Linked DNA regions of Bombyx mori. The main gene of each other region encodes a partner of the protein of the gene in region 2 in a complex. Links are inferred from orthologs where the notes say so. Each region holds a gene or a part of one and is shown on either strand. Other genes may lie near its edges.

Region 1 (4,116 bases), on a different chromosome or scaffold from region 2:
ATAAACGAAATGGAAACGACCTAAGTACAAATAGGTACAGGTTTGTAGGGTTGTCTATGTAGTTATAACAATATTATTTAAATTTGTTGGTAAAAATCTAGTTTATTCATGATGTTTTTGTCTAGAACTTTTATTCAAAATTATCAATGTGTTATTTTATTGTTTGGTAAATATTTATATTATAAGTTAGGTACGTATTGTTTTCTATTTTTAGATATGCCTCGCGTGTACGTATCAGAATGCAAAGCCTTATAAAGAGATATGATCCCTTAATATTAAAAACAGCAATAGAAGCCTACGAAATTGGGAATAAGTCTTTAGTTGAAATAGCTAAGCAATTTAATATAAGTAAGTCGATTTTGCACAGACATGTAACAAGAACAATGAAATCTCAAGGTGGACAAAAATGTCTAAGTAATATATCATAACATATATTAATATTTGTCCAGAGTGGGGGTATCCACCTGATTAATCTATGGAATAACGGACACACCTAATCTCTTAACCCAGATAAAAATATCAGGCCCTAAGTACTTACTAAGAATGAAGAAATATAAACCGCTTATAAGAAAGCCCGCTCGTTCGAGTTTAGGCGCTTACTCTCCCTTAAACAGAATCCTTTGGGACTACAATAATGTCCACGGTAGCGCGGTCTCCGTCAATGCTCATTCGTAGTTGTCCGATTGCGCTGAACTAACTTTAAGTGATGAAATAGATGTTTTTCTAATTATTTCACAACTTACAGGAAAAAACTGTCGCGGATACTTTCCCAAGTAAATATAAATTAATCACAAATAATTAAATGTAATCAAGTTTTATATATTATATTTTTTTTATTGTTAATGCACTGTCGATTGCACCTATAATTGAGGTGACATCTGCCATGTACTTTTGTCAGTTTTTCAATGTTTTTTATTGATGATCACTTTGTTGGTGCAACTAAATAAATTAATTAATTAAAACCAAGTAGTGCCAACCCTAGCAAATTTCTCATTTCGTCCCAATTAACCGCAATTTCCGGGTAAATAGGGATTACACCTATTTTTGCTTTTTTTGCTTAAACTGGAATGCTAGTTGCATAGTTTTAAATTGGACAACAAAGATGCCCCCAAGACTCCATCATTTTGATCTTGATATAGCATTATATACATCAACAACTACCTTAAAATTGGTCATAAAGTTGGAATTTGTCCCTAATCGCCCCATTTTACCGGTATATCAAATATATTAAGTGTATAATCTATGCATATTATATTTGAGAGTCAAAGTTGGACTTTTTGGCGGGAACGCGAGGAGTGAAGTTGTGTGATTTGTTTTATTTTGTCTATTTAGTGTTTCTTCAGGTTTAAATGTGTAATAACGGTGGTTTATTAACTGTTTAATATCTGTGAAAGTGCACAAATGTGGGAAAATGAAACAAAGCTGCTGGACGTAACTTCTCGGATTCGTCCAAAAAATCCACTGAAAAAATCTCAGTAAATGACCACCATTTTACTGCGATTATATTTCATCCCATATCATCTCATTTCATTAAATTTCATGCCAGTTGATTAATGTTTCAAATTAATCATCTTCATTTCATTTCACTCCATATTATCATTTTTCATAAAATTAAGAATATAAAGTAAAATAAGACATGACTTAAAGGTCTCAGTTACCAGGTCATAAAATCTCTTAAAAAAAAGAGTAAAAGTGAAGACTTTTTGGCGGGAACGCGAGGAGTGAAGTTGTGTGATTTGTTTTATTTTGTCTATTTAGTGTTTCTTCAGGTTTAAATGTGTAATAATGGTGGTTTATTAACTGTTTAATATCTGTGAAAGTGCACAAATGTGGGAAAATGAAACAAAGCTGCTGGACGTAACTTCTCAGGTTCCTCCAAAAAGTCCACTGAAAAAATCTCAGTAAATGACCACCATTTTACTGCGATTATATTTCATCCCATATCATTTAATTTCATTAAATTTCATCCCAGTTGATTAATGTCTCAAATTAATCATCTTCATTTCATTTCACTCCATATTATCATTTTTCATAAAATTAAGAATATAAAGTAAAATAAGACATGACTTAAAGGTCTTAGTTACCAGGTCATAAAATCTCTTAAAAAAAGAGTCAAAGTGGCCCAAAGCATAGATTATACACTTAATGGCCCAAAGTGGCCCAAAGGCTACCACAAAAAAATAGAAGTGGGCGTTCATAAATTCGTTACCATGGGAAGTCCAGAGCGTGAACTTTGTCCACCACCTTCAGAAGAGGACGAACTGACTCTACCAAGAGCTAGTATAAATAAAATGATAAAAGAGTTAGTGCCTTCTGTTCGTGTAGCGTTCGAGTCAAGGGAGTTAATCCTAAATTGCTGCACTGAATTCATACATTTGATTAGTTCTGAAGCCAATGAAGTATGTAATCAAAGCAATAAGAAAACAATTAATGCAGAACATGTCCTTACAGGTATATATTTCACTATTGTTAAAAGACAATTAATATTATCATAAGGAACACGAACATATTTTTTTTACGAATTTAACTTTAAGCTTCAGTATCAAACTAATTTTCAGCCCTAGACAGATTAGGATTTAGTGACTACACAATAGAAGCAGAAGCTGTCTTAAAAGATTGTAAAGCAGTGGCGGCTAAAAGAAGACGACAAAGCACACGCCTTGAGAATTTAGGCATTCCAGAAGAAGAATTATTGAGACAACAACAAGAACTGTTTGCAAAGGTTTAAACAATTTAAATCAGTATTTTCTTAACCATTATGAAATTCAATAAAAATGTGTCTGTGGTCATGATTTTGAAATGAAAAAAATGAAGTAACAATCTTACCAAACCAATCAGACTAATCCGACATATGTAATAAACCCTATTTATATTATAGAGCAATTATGTTTCAATTCATTTAATGTAAACATTAGATGTGGATTTGTTGATCTTCATACAAACTGGTCAATAATAAATTGGTCTCTAATGTCATTTAAACAACATAAGGATGGGATTGTTATATAGACCATACAAAAAAAAACCAATTTGATTCAATTTAATTCAAAGTAATCACCCCATTTAAATGTCAGCTTAAGCTTCATACTTTAGTCCTTTCTACTCAGGAATGTACAGGAACTTTTAGAGAACACTTATTAACCTAACCCTTTGAGGTGTAACAGCAATCATGCAATACAAGCTGTTAAACAATACAATTGAGGCTTCAATCAAGGTTCATATAGAACAAACTCGAGTAAGCACTTTGTAATAACCTAGATGTTGTATTTCTTAAGCTTTGGGAAAATAAGTAGGAAAAAAGTGTTCATAAAAAAATATGGAATCGAGCAAGCCCCTGTATTTGATATCTTATTTTGTTAGATATGTTAACAGGAGACAGAGTATGATAAAACCACATTTTCATAATTACTTATGGTCAATATGAGAACCAATTGTAGATATTATTTTAATATAATTATATCTCATGGCAAATAGTTTGTGTATATACTGGTTTAACTTTTATGACTGGTTTAACTTAGTCCATGTGGTTTTCTTAATTTTTAATCATTAAATCAAATTTCTCTCCGAGAAATGACCTCTTATCCTTTTATATATCGACGCTTGAAAGGCAAATGTGACTAAGCGACAATGCGTGAACTTTACAGTAGACTAATTTAAAGTTGAAATACCTGACAACAAAATTTATTTTAATGAGTCTAGCTGTAGTAGAATCTAGCTAGTAGCTGTAGGATTGAAATTATTTTAATAGACCTAGAAATATATATTTTTTGCAAGTCGAATATGGTTATTGCCTATCATTTATGTACAAAGCAGTTATTGTCGCTTAGTCATGTTTGCCTTTCAAGCATCAATATGTTTTAAATTATATATAAAAAAAAATATTTTTTCTTATAAATCCTCCATTAAAATATACGTCATTATCTTATTGCCATCTAGTGGCCGACGCTCGTAAACAGAATGTGTGAGAAACGACCTAGCTCACTATCTCCCTCTCAAAGGTCTAGTGGTTTGCGAGACGATCTGTCTATTTTCTCATTCTCGCTCCTCTTAAATTGTATCTTTTCTCTCAAGCTGTAACGAAGTAACTGCCTAACTATCGTGAGTTAAATATTACTCTCA
Region 2 (4,251 bases):
AGACCCGCACGAGCGCGGCGACGGCGTCCCCGGGTCGAGCGACGTGCCCCGCGTCGGCCGGCACCGCTCCGCACAGCGGCGGCGCCCGCTCCCCCGCGCGCCCCACGTGCAGCGGCAACGTTTGCGCGGCACTCAGGAGCAGCTTCATCAGCGCCCCGCAACCGATCGTCTCCTTGTTACCCGCGTGACGAGCCTGCCGCAACGAAACGACTCTACGTTACAGATTCAAAACCAAACTTTTTTTATTTATTGAAGTGAATCTTCTTTAGAATCGTGATTTCAAAGTCGATGAAACGAAAAAATTAGTCCATAGAGACACAAACACATAAATGTATAGGATTAAGCCGGCGATAGAATGAGATAGAACACATTAGACGTTCTCGGTCTCCTCTTTGTGCGACTCTTCGTAGCATCCCCACTATCGTCTACTAAGCATTATCCATATGTATGCTCCTGTGTAGTGGGATAGTCAGTATATCTATATCTTATTTATAAGTTTAGCTTCTACCGTGTGTGACTTGCATACACACACTTTTTTTTATTGCCTTTGTACTTGTTGACTGTCGCTGCCTGCCACTGGCATATTATGCTGGTCCTAGCATGTGAACAGGCCTGTGAGATATTACAGGACCAAACCTATATTCATCAATAAATATGATTTGATACCTGAATTCGACGTTCATTTTTAATTGCACGTATTTCGTAAATCCTTGACAGTGCAGCTCTAAGTAGTCTTTCCTCTTGTTCGGCAGCTGTTAAGCCCGATTTATATAAACTTTTAAGCTGCGAAACCTGTTAAACAAAAATATTTTAATAACCATTAGCGGGAAAAAACAATCAACATTTCTTCATTAGATACAATGAGTAGTAGTAGTTCTTGTTTGTTGGGGTGGTGGTGGTGTCGATTAGCTTATGTAACATGGGATTGACTGTCAGCTGTCTGGGCCAATATTACAGAGCAATTTTAAGATGAGTATCTTCTAAGCTTTTCCCGAAAACCCACTGGAACATTTACTATTTTAATTACATACCTTATAGTATTATATTTTAAATAAAATTAATTATTTATTAATTAATTGATTTTCATGATATACAGATTTTGTATAATAAAGTGTAACCTAGTGAGAATAATTGAAAAACAATTTAAGAAGATGGACGCAACAAAAGTATTCAAGTTATTGAAGCTAAGTAGGTGATTATTATGTACTTTTATAAATTTTTAATTTCATGATTGAACTTTATTGCATTATATGAATGTATTGAACAATTTGAATGTTAAAAATCTTATAATCACTTGTTGGGAAGATCCTGATGAATCATCAGCACTCGAAGGAGATCCTGTAGATTTTTCAGCTCTAAGTATGGCATCTATGCACTGTTCATTGCGAGACCTCTCCGCTTCTATATCATAAATCAATCTGTGTAATGACCTCAATCTTTCCTGTGTACAAAAACAACATAATATTAGTTGGTTTTGTTAAAGGTACATTGAATACTATTGGCTGGTAACATCTTCTTTTTGGCTCCAATGGCCATCCATTTTACGAGCAATGTGCCCTGCCCACTGCCACTTCAATGTCGCAATCCTTTGGGATATGTTAGTTACCATGGTTATCCGGCAAGTCTCCTCATTTATGATTCGATCTTGCAGGGAAACTCCGAGCACAGCCCTCTCCATTGCTCTTTGGGTGACCTTGAGCCTTCTCATAAGGCCCATTGCTGGTTACATAGGTATTAATTATAAGAAAATAGTAATGCTCAATTGTTAATAGTTTCCTTACAATCTGTACGTCTATAAATGATGATATAAAATTAAGTAAATGATCACTTCACACTTGATCCTTCACACCTGTACTTGTTGTGCAGCAACGTCAGCTGTGAGAGGCATTATTTCACAATATTCGATAGTTTCCAACTCAAATATATAGTGTGGATCCAGCTGATACTCACTATTACCTGGAAAATCATGTAAAACTATGTTAGTGTCTATAGTACAGCAAATGAAGAGTATGAATCTTCAATTTTATTTAAAGCTTTCTTGGATGTTCTTTGCTTTATTCCATTAATAAAATGATATATGTATTTATATGTTAAAATAATTGTAAATGAATAGATGATCTGTGAACATGAAGAATGAACAATTCAGACATAAGCTTCAACATTTGAGGGGAAACATGACCATTGAGGGGAATCAATCTGTACAATTGCAAGACAAGATTTGTACAGAAACAGTAAACATTGAAATTCTCTGTGTGTGTTCTCTGTCTAGCAGGTAATTAGAACTTATCTTCCTTATTTTACTTTTTTCCATTGATTGGCTGTATTTATAGATAGCTTTTTGACACCAATGTAAAATAAAAAAGGACTCTGTGACTTGGAGAAGGCCTTTCACAAGGGGCAAAACAAGTTGCGAGATTTAATACAATAATGTACTTATTTCATTCCATTCACAGTAAGTAAATACATAAAAATATGTGTACAAGATAAAACGTATGTAGTACCATTAATTTAAGTTTATATTGTACACATCTAAGATAGCTAAATTTAAAATTTGTATATTGGTAATTTTAAGCAAATCGAATTCAAGTACAAACATGATAAAATAAACAATAAACATTCCATTTTGTTTTGTTTTTAACGCTATAAGGACGCAGATTTCAATAATGGTTATTTGTTGGTTTGTTACAAGTTGGTACACCGATATTGTATTGTGGAAATAGTTTTACCGAAATGATGATTTTGCACCAATTTGGTATAGTAACCATTAGTAAATTTAATAAAGTCAAAACTACAAAATAGAAAGCTCAATTATGCGAGAGCTGTTTTATTTTTATTACAGTGTAGGTACATACTATCGTGTATAATCTATGCTGTAAAGGCTGTTTGGGCTTAGATCCCCTTGCCTTTCCTAATAAGGAAAAATTGTACCAAAAAAAAAATCTATGCTATATTATTAGTGTACCTACCTATATAAGGGACTTTTCGCGGAAACGGGAGGAGTGAAGTTGTGTGATTTGTTTTATTTTGTCTGTTTAGTGTTTCTTCAGGTTTAAATGTGTAATAACGGTGGCTTATTAACTGTTTAATATCTGTGAAAGTGCACAAATGTGGGAAAATAAAACAAAGCCATTGGACGTAACTTTTCGAAATCCTTCAAAAAGTCCACTGAAAAAATCTCAATAAATGACCATCATTTTACTAAGATTATATTTCATCCCATATCATCTCATCTCATCTTGTTTCATTTAATTTCATCCCAGTTGATTAAGGTCTCAAATTAATCATCTTCATTTTATTTTATTTCACTCCATATTATCATTTTTCATAAAAATAAGAAATATAAATCAAAATAAGATGTGACTTAAAAGTCTTAGTTACCAGGTTATAAAATCCCGCGGATGCCTCACCTTCCGGCTGACGCAGATGTTGACCGGCCATGGGTGTTTTGGCCGGTACCTCTTCAAGATAGCCGGAAGGGAACCGACGGCGCAGTGCCACCACTGCGCGGACCGCGACGAGGAAGACACAGCGGAACATACATTGGCGCGTTGCTCTGGATTCGACGAGCAACGCGCCGCCCTCGTCGCGGTCATAGGAGAGGACCTCTCGCTGCCGCGCGTCGTGGCTACGATGCTCGGCAGCGACGCGTCCTGGAAGGCGATGCTCGACTTCTGCGAGTCCACCATCTCGCAGAAGGAGGCGGCGGAGCGAGAGAGGGAGAGCTCTTCCCTTTCCGCACCAATCCGTCGCCGTCGAGCCGGGGGCCGGAGGCGGGAATACGCCCGTACGTTCCGGCCCCTGTATGTAGCGGCCTCCCCCCGGTGAAGGTCAAGGGGCGACCTGAGGGGGTGAGGCCGCGCGGCGCGCTACCAGCACTCTAGCGCGCTGCCGTGGAGTAAATAGAGCGACCGGTCGACGGTGTATCGCGTCCCGACCCGGCAGGCTGGTTCTGGTCCAGCGGGGTATTCCGGGACACCAGCGGCACCGTCTGGGCGGCCCGACGGGCTGCCGTACCGAGACGGCCGACGTTTCAGAGCCTTCGATTCGCCTCGAAGGCTCCGTCGGCTGGGCGTCCTTGGGGTGAGCCACGCCGTCTGGTTGTAGTGTTGACCGCGGTAGCCCCCCTACCTCATCCGGGTTCTGACTTCGGAGGGGATCGGACGTGGGGGGAAAGAGTGCAGGGGAGTCGTTTAGTGGGTGGGTCCTAAAATCCTTGGGCCCGCGGTCTGCTCACAACACCATGCAGATCGT
Region 3 (3,379 bases), on a different chromosome or scaffold from region 2:
AAGTGAGTATCATGAAAACCCTATTTCTCTGGTATTATGGTACAATGTATTATCAGCATATTATGATACATTATGAATATCACTCAATGTATTGTAATTATTATGTAAACTTATCTGGAGTTTTACAAAACTGCTTCACGCCAGAAACATGCTGATGCATAGATTAGTCTACTATTTCAAAGCTACTAAAATTTTGACCTCATACCTCATATTACCAATGTATCTATGTATCTAACTATTTTCATCGCATTTTACACTACCACATTATTTGTTGATAATGAATCCAAAAGTAACATTTTGTGCACAAAGAACAGACAAACAGACAACGTGAACTATGAATATTTCATTTCTGCAGTTGGGCTTCTGAGCTCACACCCAACTCACCTATCCCAAAGTATTGTAATGTCACTGCTCTCACACTGTTCAAGTTATATTGAAAGTATGAATACTTTAAGACTAAAATAGGCACATTAGTGGTAGAAATACACACAGGCTAACAATACTTTGTTGCATAATAATTTTCGATTGATAAATAGTTGACAAGTGTGTGTATCTGCAATTCAGCATAGCATATGTGGTGTTAAATGATACCAATTTGTCATAGTCACAATGGTTTACTTATAAAACCTTCATATAACAAATAATCATAAATTTTCCTAGTCTTATTTACATCTATTTTAACAATTTTCCTTGCATCTAAAAGTCGTAGGAATCCAAGCTTACTGTTCTGAGCTATAAGATGCTCTTTTATTTCCAAGTAGTTTGTTGGTACAAGCCTCAAATTAGAACATAGTACTTGTTCAGCCTCACTCAGCCTGTGGAAACCTGGCAAGTCAATTATTTCTAAGGGCATTGCCATACGCTTGTAACGCAGCACTTGGTGGTTTTTTGTGTACATAGTCTTCACTGGTGATTGATTTTCAAATTTCTTGGCCATAACACATGTAGCATACTTTTGTTCTTTCATGATTATGTCATTTTCTTTTTTAAGTTGCTTATAAAGTTTGGCAGTATAAAGAGTTTTTATACCATTCTTACGGTATTCACATAAATGTCCAATTCTCTGTAACAGCTCGTTCTCTAAGCTCATGGATTCCATGAAAGCGTCAAACTGTATTCCTGTCATGAACTGCATGAAGCAAAGCAATCGTTCTGCTTTCTGTCGTGTTATAGTGAGGTCAAACTTTTGGATCCATGAGAAAAGCTTATTTGGCATTACTAAGCCATGATTCTGTATAATTTTATACCTTCTATGTCTTTCTCTTAATCTTGTATTAAGAGCATTCACTAAAGACACCTTTAAAGAATCCATCATGTCCATTTCATCCTCATCCTCATCATCATCTTCAGAGTAACTGTCTTCAATATTAAATATGCTTTCAGCATTGTGATCATAACTGAATTCAAATTCAGATCTATATGTATTGTAACCAGCTAAATGTTGATCTGAACTGTTATTTCTAGGCGGATTAGTGCTTACATCTGTATTGTACAAGTATGGAGTAATTGGCATTGGAAAAAGTGACTGTTGTGTTTCCTTTAGTAATCTCAATTCTTTATACTGCACATTCTCTATGTAATATTTCCTATAATGCTCTTGACATTCGAGTTTAGAACGTGTGTGCACATTCTTAGATATTTCTTCCCAATTTCCGAATCCGTATGTAGAAAGTGCTGATAACAATTTGCACTCTTCTTTAGCAGACCAATTGCAATTACCGAATAATGGAAAATCATTTCTTCTTATCGCGTATTTGTGGTCATTTTTATGCATTTCTGTTTCCTTGCCGGATGAAAAACAAGGAGTGCAAACATTGCTTTCGCACTCGCAACATTCGATAAAAGGCTCGTGTGCGACTTCTGAACACAAATCGCAGTTCGTTTGTAGTATATCTCTGGACATTATTTCAGGTTGAAGAACTTATACAAGACTTTTATGAGAAGTACTACGACATCGAATACAAGGGATGCCGGCACGCGCTCTTTCTTCGACTTGTCAGATAAATAAAGTAGTACTTTAAAAACCTTTATTTTATTTACAAACAAAACCTAATAGTCTAACTATCACTTACCTATTGAACAAACTTCAAAAATTCAAAAACAAAAGAACTAAACACCTACATTTCGATAGAACTTCACGCACAGATCAGTTGTTTATTGGTTTACAATAGAAGATAGTGATTTTTTTCTATTTAGTAAAACCGGTTAAACTATGTAATGTTAGGGATTACTATTTCAGCAAACGTTTAGAAAATACAATATTTAAGTAAGTACGGTTCCTACATAATAGTAGTAGTTTTATTTTTTCAACTGAAAAGTCAATGGTATCATACCATACAGCCTAATCTTTTATAATTCATTTTATATGAAAAATGATAATATGAAGTGTAATTAAATGAAGTTGATTAATGAAACATGGCATGAAATGAAATGAGGTTGGATAATATGGGATAAAATATAATCTCAGTAAAATGGTGGTCATTTACTAAGACTTTTTCAATTGACTTTTTGGAAGATCCCGAGAAGTTACGTCCAGTGCCTTTGTTTCATTTTCCCACATTTGTGCACTTTCACAGATACTAAACAGTTAATAAGCCACGTTATTACACATTTAAATCTAACAAACAAATCACACAACTTCACTCCTCGCGGTTCCGCCAAAAAGATCTTACCTTTTTTGTTCTTGCCCTGTCATACATACATAACTTTATTCAAAATAACTACATATCTCGGTGAGTAGGGATGGTGATCAGGGATTGATTTCTGTTTAAATCGATCTTTTTATCATTATAATAGCCAATCCATCTAGGACATTAGCAAATCAAAATGCATTTGCAAACAGGTTATCATCATATCATGTGTGAAAATCCATTATTATTGGAAAATGAAATAAAGTTGCTGAACGTGACGTCTCGGGTTCTTCCAAAAAATCTATTGAAACAACGCAAATTGATGACAATATCAGTTAATAAACAAATTCATTTCAATCCGATCCATTCCATTTGACATCAAAGCATCGATATTAAAAAAGTATTTTAAAGTCGGTGCTGGTGACATTACACGGAAAATAAAAAAAAAGCGAATATCGAAAAAATATATTTATGGGCAGTCGATTTTCTCTTTTTCGAGAAGAAGGATCATTCCTACTTTTTCATATATCTGTACTTATGTCTTTGTCAACGTTTACTATGTATCACTGCTAAATATCTGTTACGACTTCATACTTAACTCTTAGGTGTGTACTTATAGGTAAGGAGAACTATCTTAAAATGAGAGACAAGTTGAAGAAGCATCCGGCTGTAAGCAGCAAATTGCAATTCAGAAAACTCATTAAAACAGGGCTAGTGTAGCAAATGGATGATGTAGAAATTGTAAGGGA

The links.
Region 1: SAGA-associated factor 29 (region 2) and protein Dr1 share a complex: the UniProt entries of both Homo sapiens proteins name them as parts of the ADA2A-containing complex. The link is inferred for Bombyx mori from reciprocal best matches to the Homo sapiens genes SGF29 and DR1.
Region 3: SAGA-associated factor 29 (region 2) and transcriptional adapter 2A share a complex: the UniProt entries of both Homo sapiens proteins name them as parts of the ADA2A-containing complex. The link is inferred for Bombyx mori from reciprocal best matches to the Homo sapiens genes SGF29 and TADA2A.

Annotation. Positions count from the first base shown.
Region 1 is NC_085110.1:7,486,895-7,491,010, forward strand, and holds the start of protein Dr1, read left to right. Parts: upstream 1-1,275; 5' UTR 1,276-2,210; coding exon 2,211-2,451; intron 2,452-2,558; coding exon 2,559-2,722; intron 2,723-4,116. UniProt on the Homo sapiens protein: The association of the DR1/DRAP1 heterodimer with TBP results in a functional repression of both activated and basal transcription of class II genes.
Region 2 is NC_085125.1:4,972,588-4,976,838, reverse strand, and holds the start of SAGA-associated factor 29, read right to left. Parts: upstream 2,805-4,251; 5' UTR 2,766-2,804; coding exon 2,699-2,765; intron 2,638-2,698; exon of another isoform or gene 2,623-2,637; coding exon of another isoform or gene 2,595-2,622; exon of another isoform or gene 2,502-2,594; intron 1,957-2,501; coding exon 1,850-1,956; intron 1,442-1,849; coding exon 1,295-1,441; intron 793-1,294; coding exon 667-792; intron 194-666; coding exon 1-193. UniProt on the Homo sapiens protein: Chromatin reader component of some histone acetyltransferase (HAT) SAGA-type complexes like the TFTC-HAT, ATAC or STAGA complexes.
Region 3 is NC_085111.1:1,075,924-1,079,302, reverse strand, and holds transcriptional adapter 2A, read right to left. Parts: upstream 1,912-3,379; 5' UTR 1,904-1,911; coding exon 605-1,903; 3' UTR 595-604; downstream 1-594. Other genes in the region: cysteine-rich protein 2-binding protein, read left to right, coding at 1-2, 1,912-2,004. UniProt on the Homo sapiens protein: Component of the ATAC complex, a complex with histone acetyltransferase activity on histones H3 and H4. Required for the function of some acidic activation domains, which activate transcription from a distant site. Binds double-stranded DNA.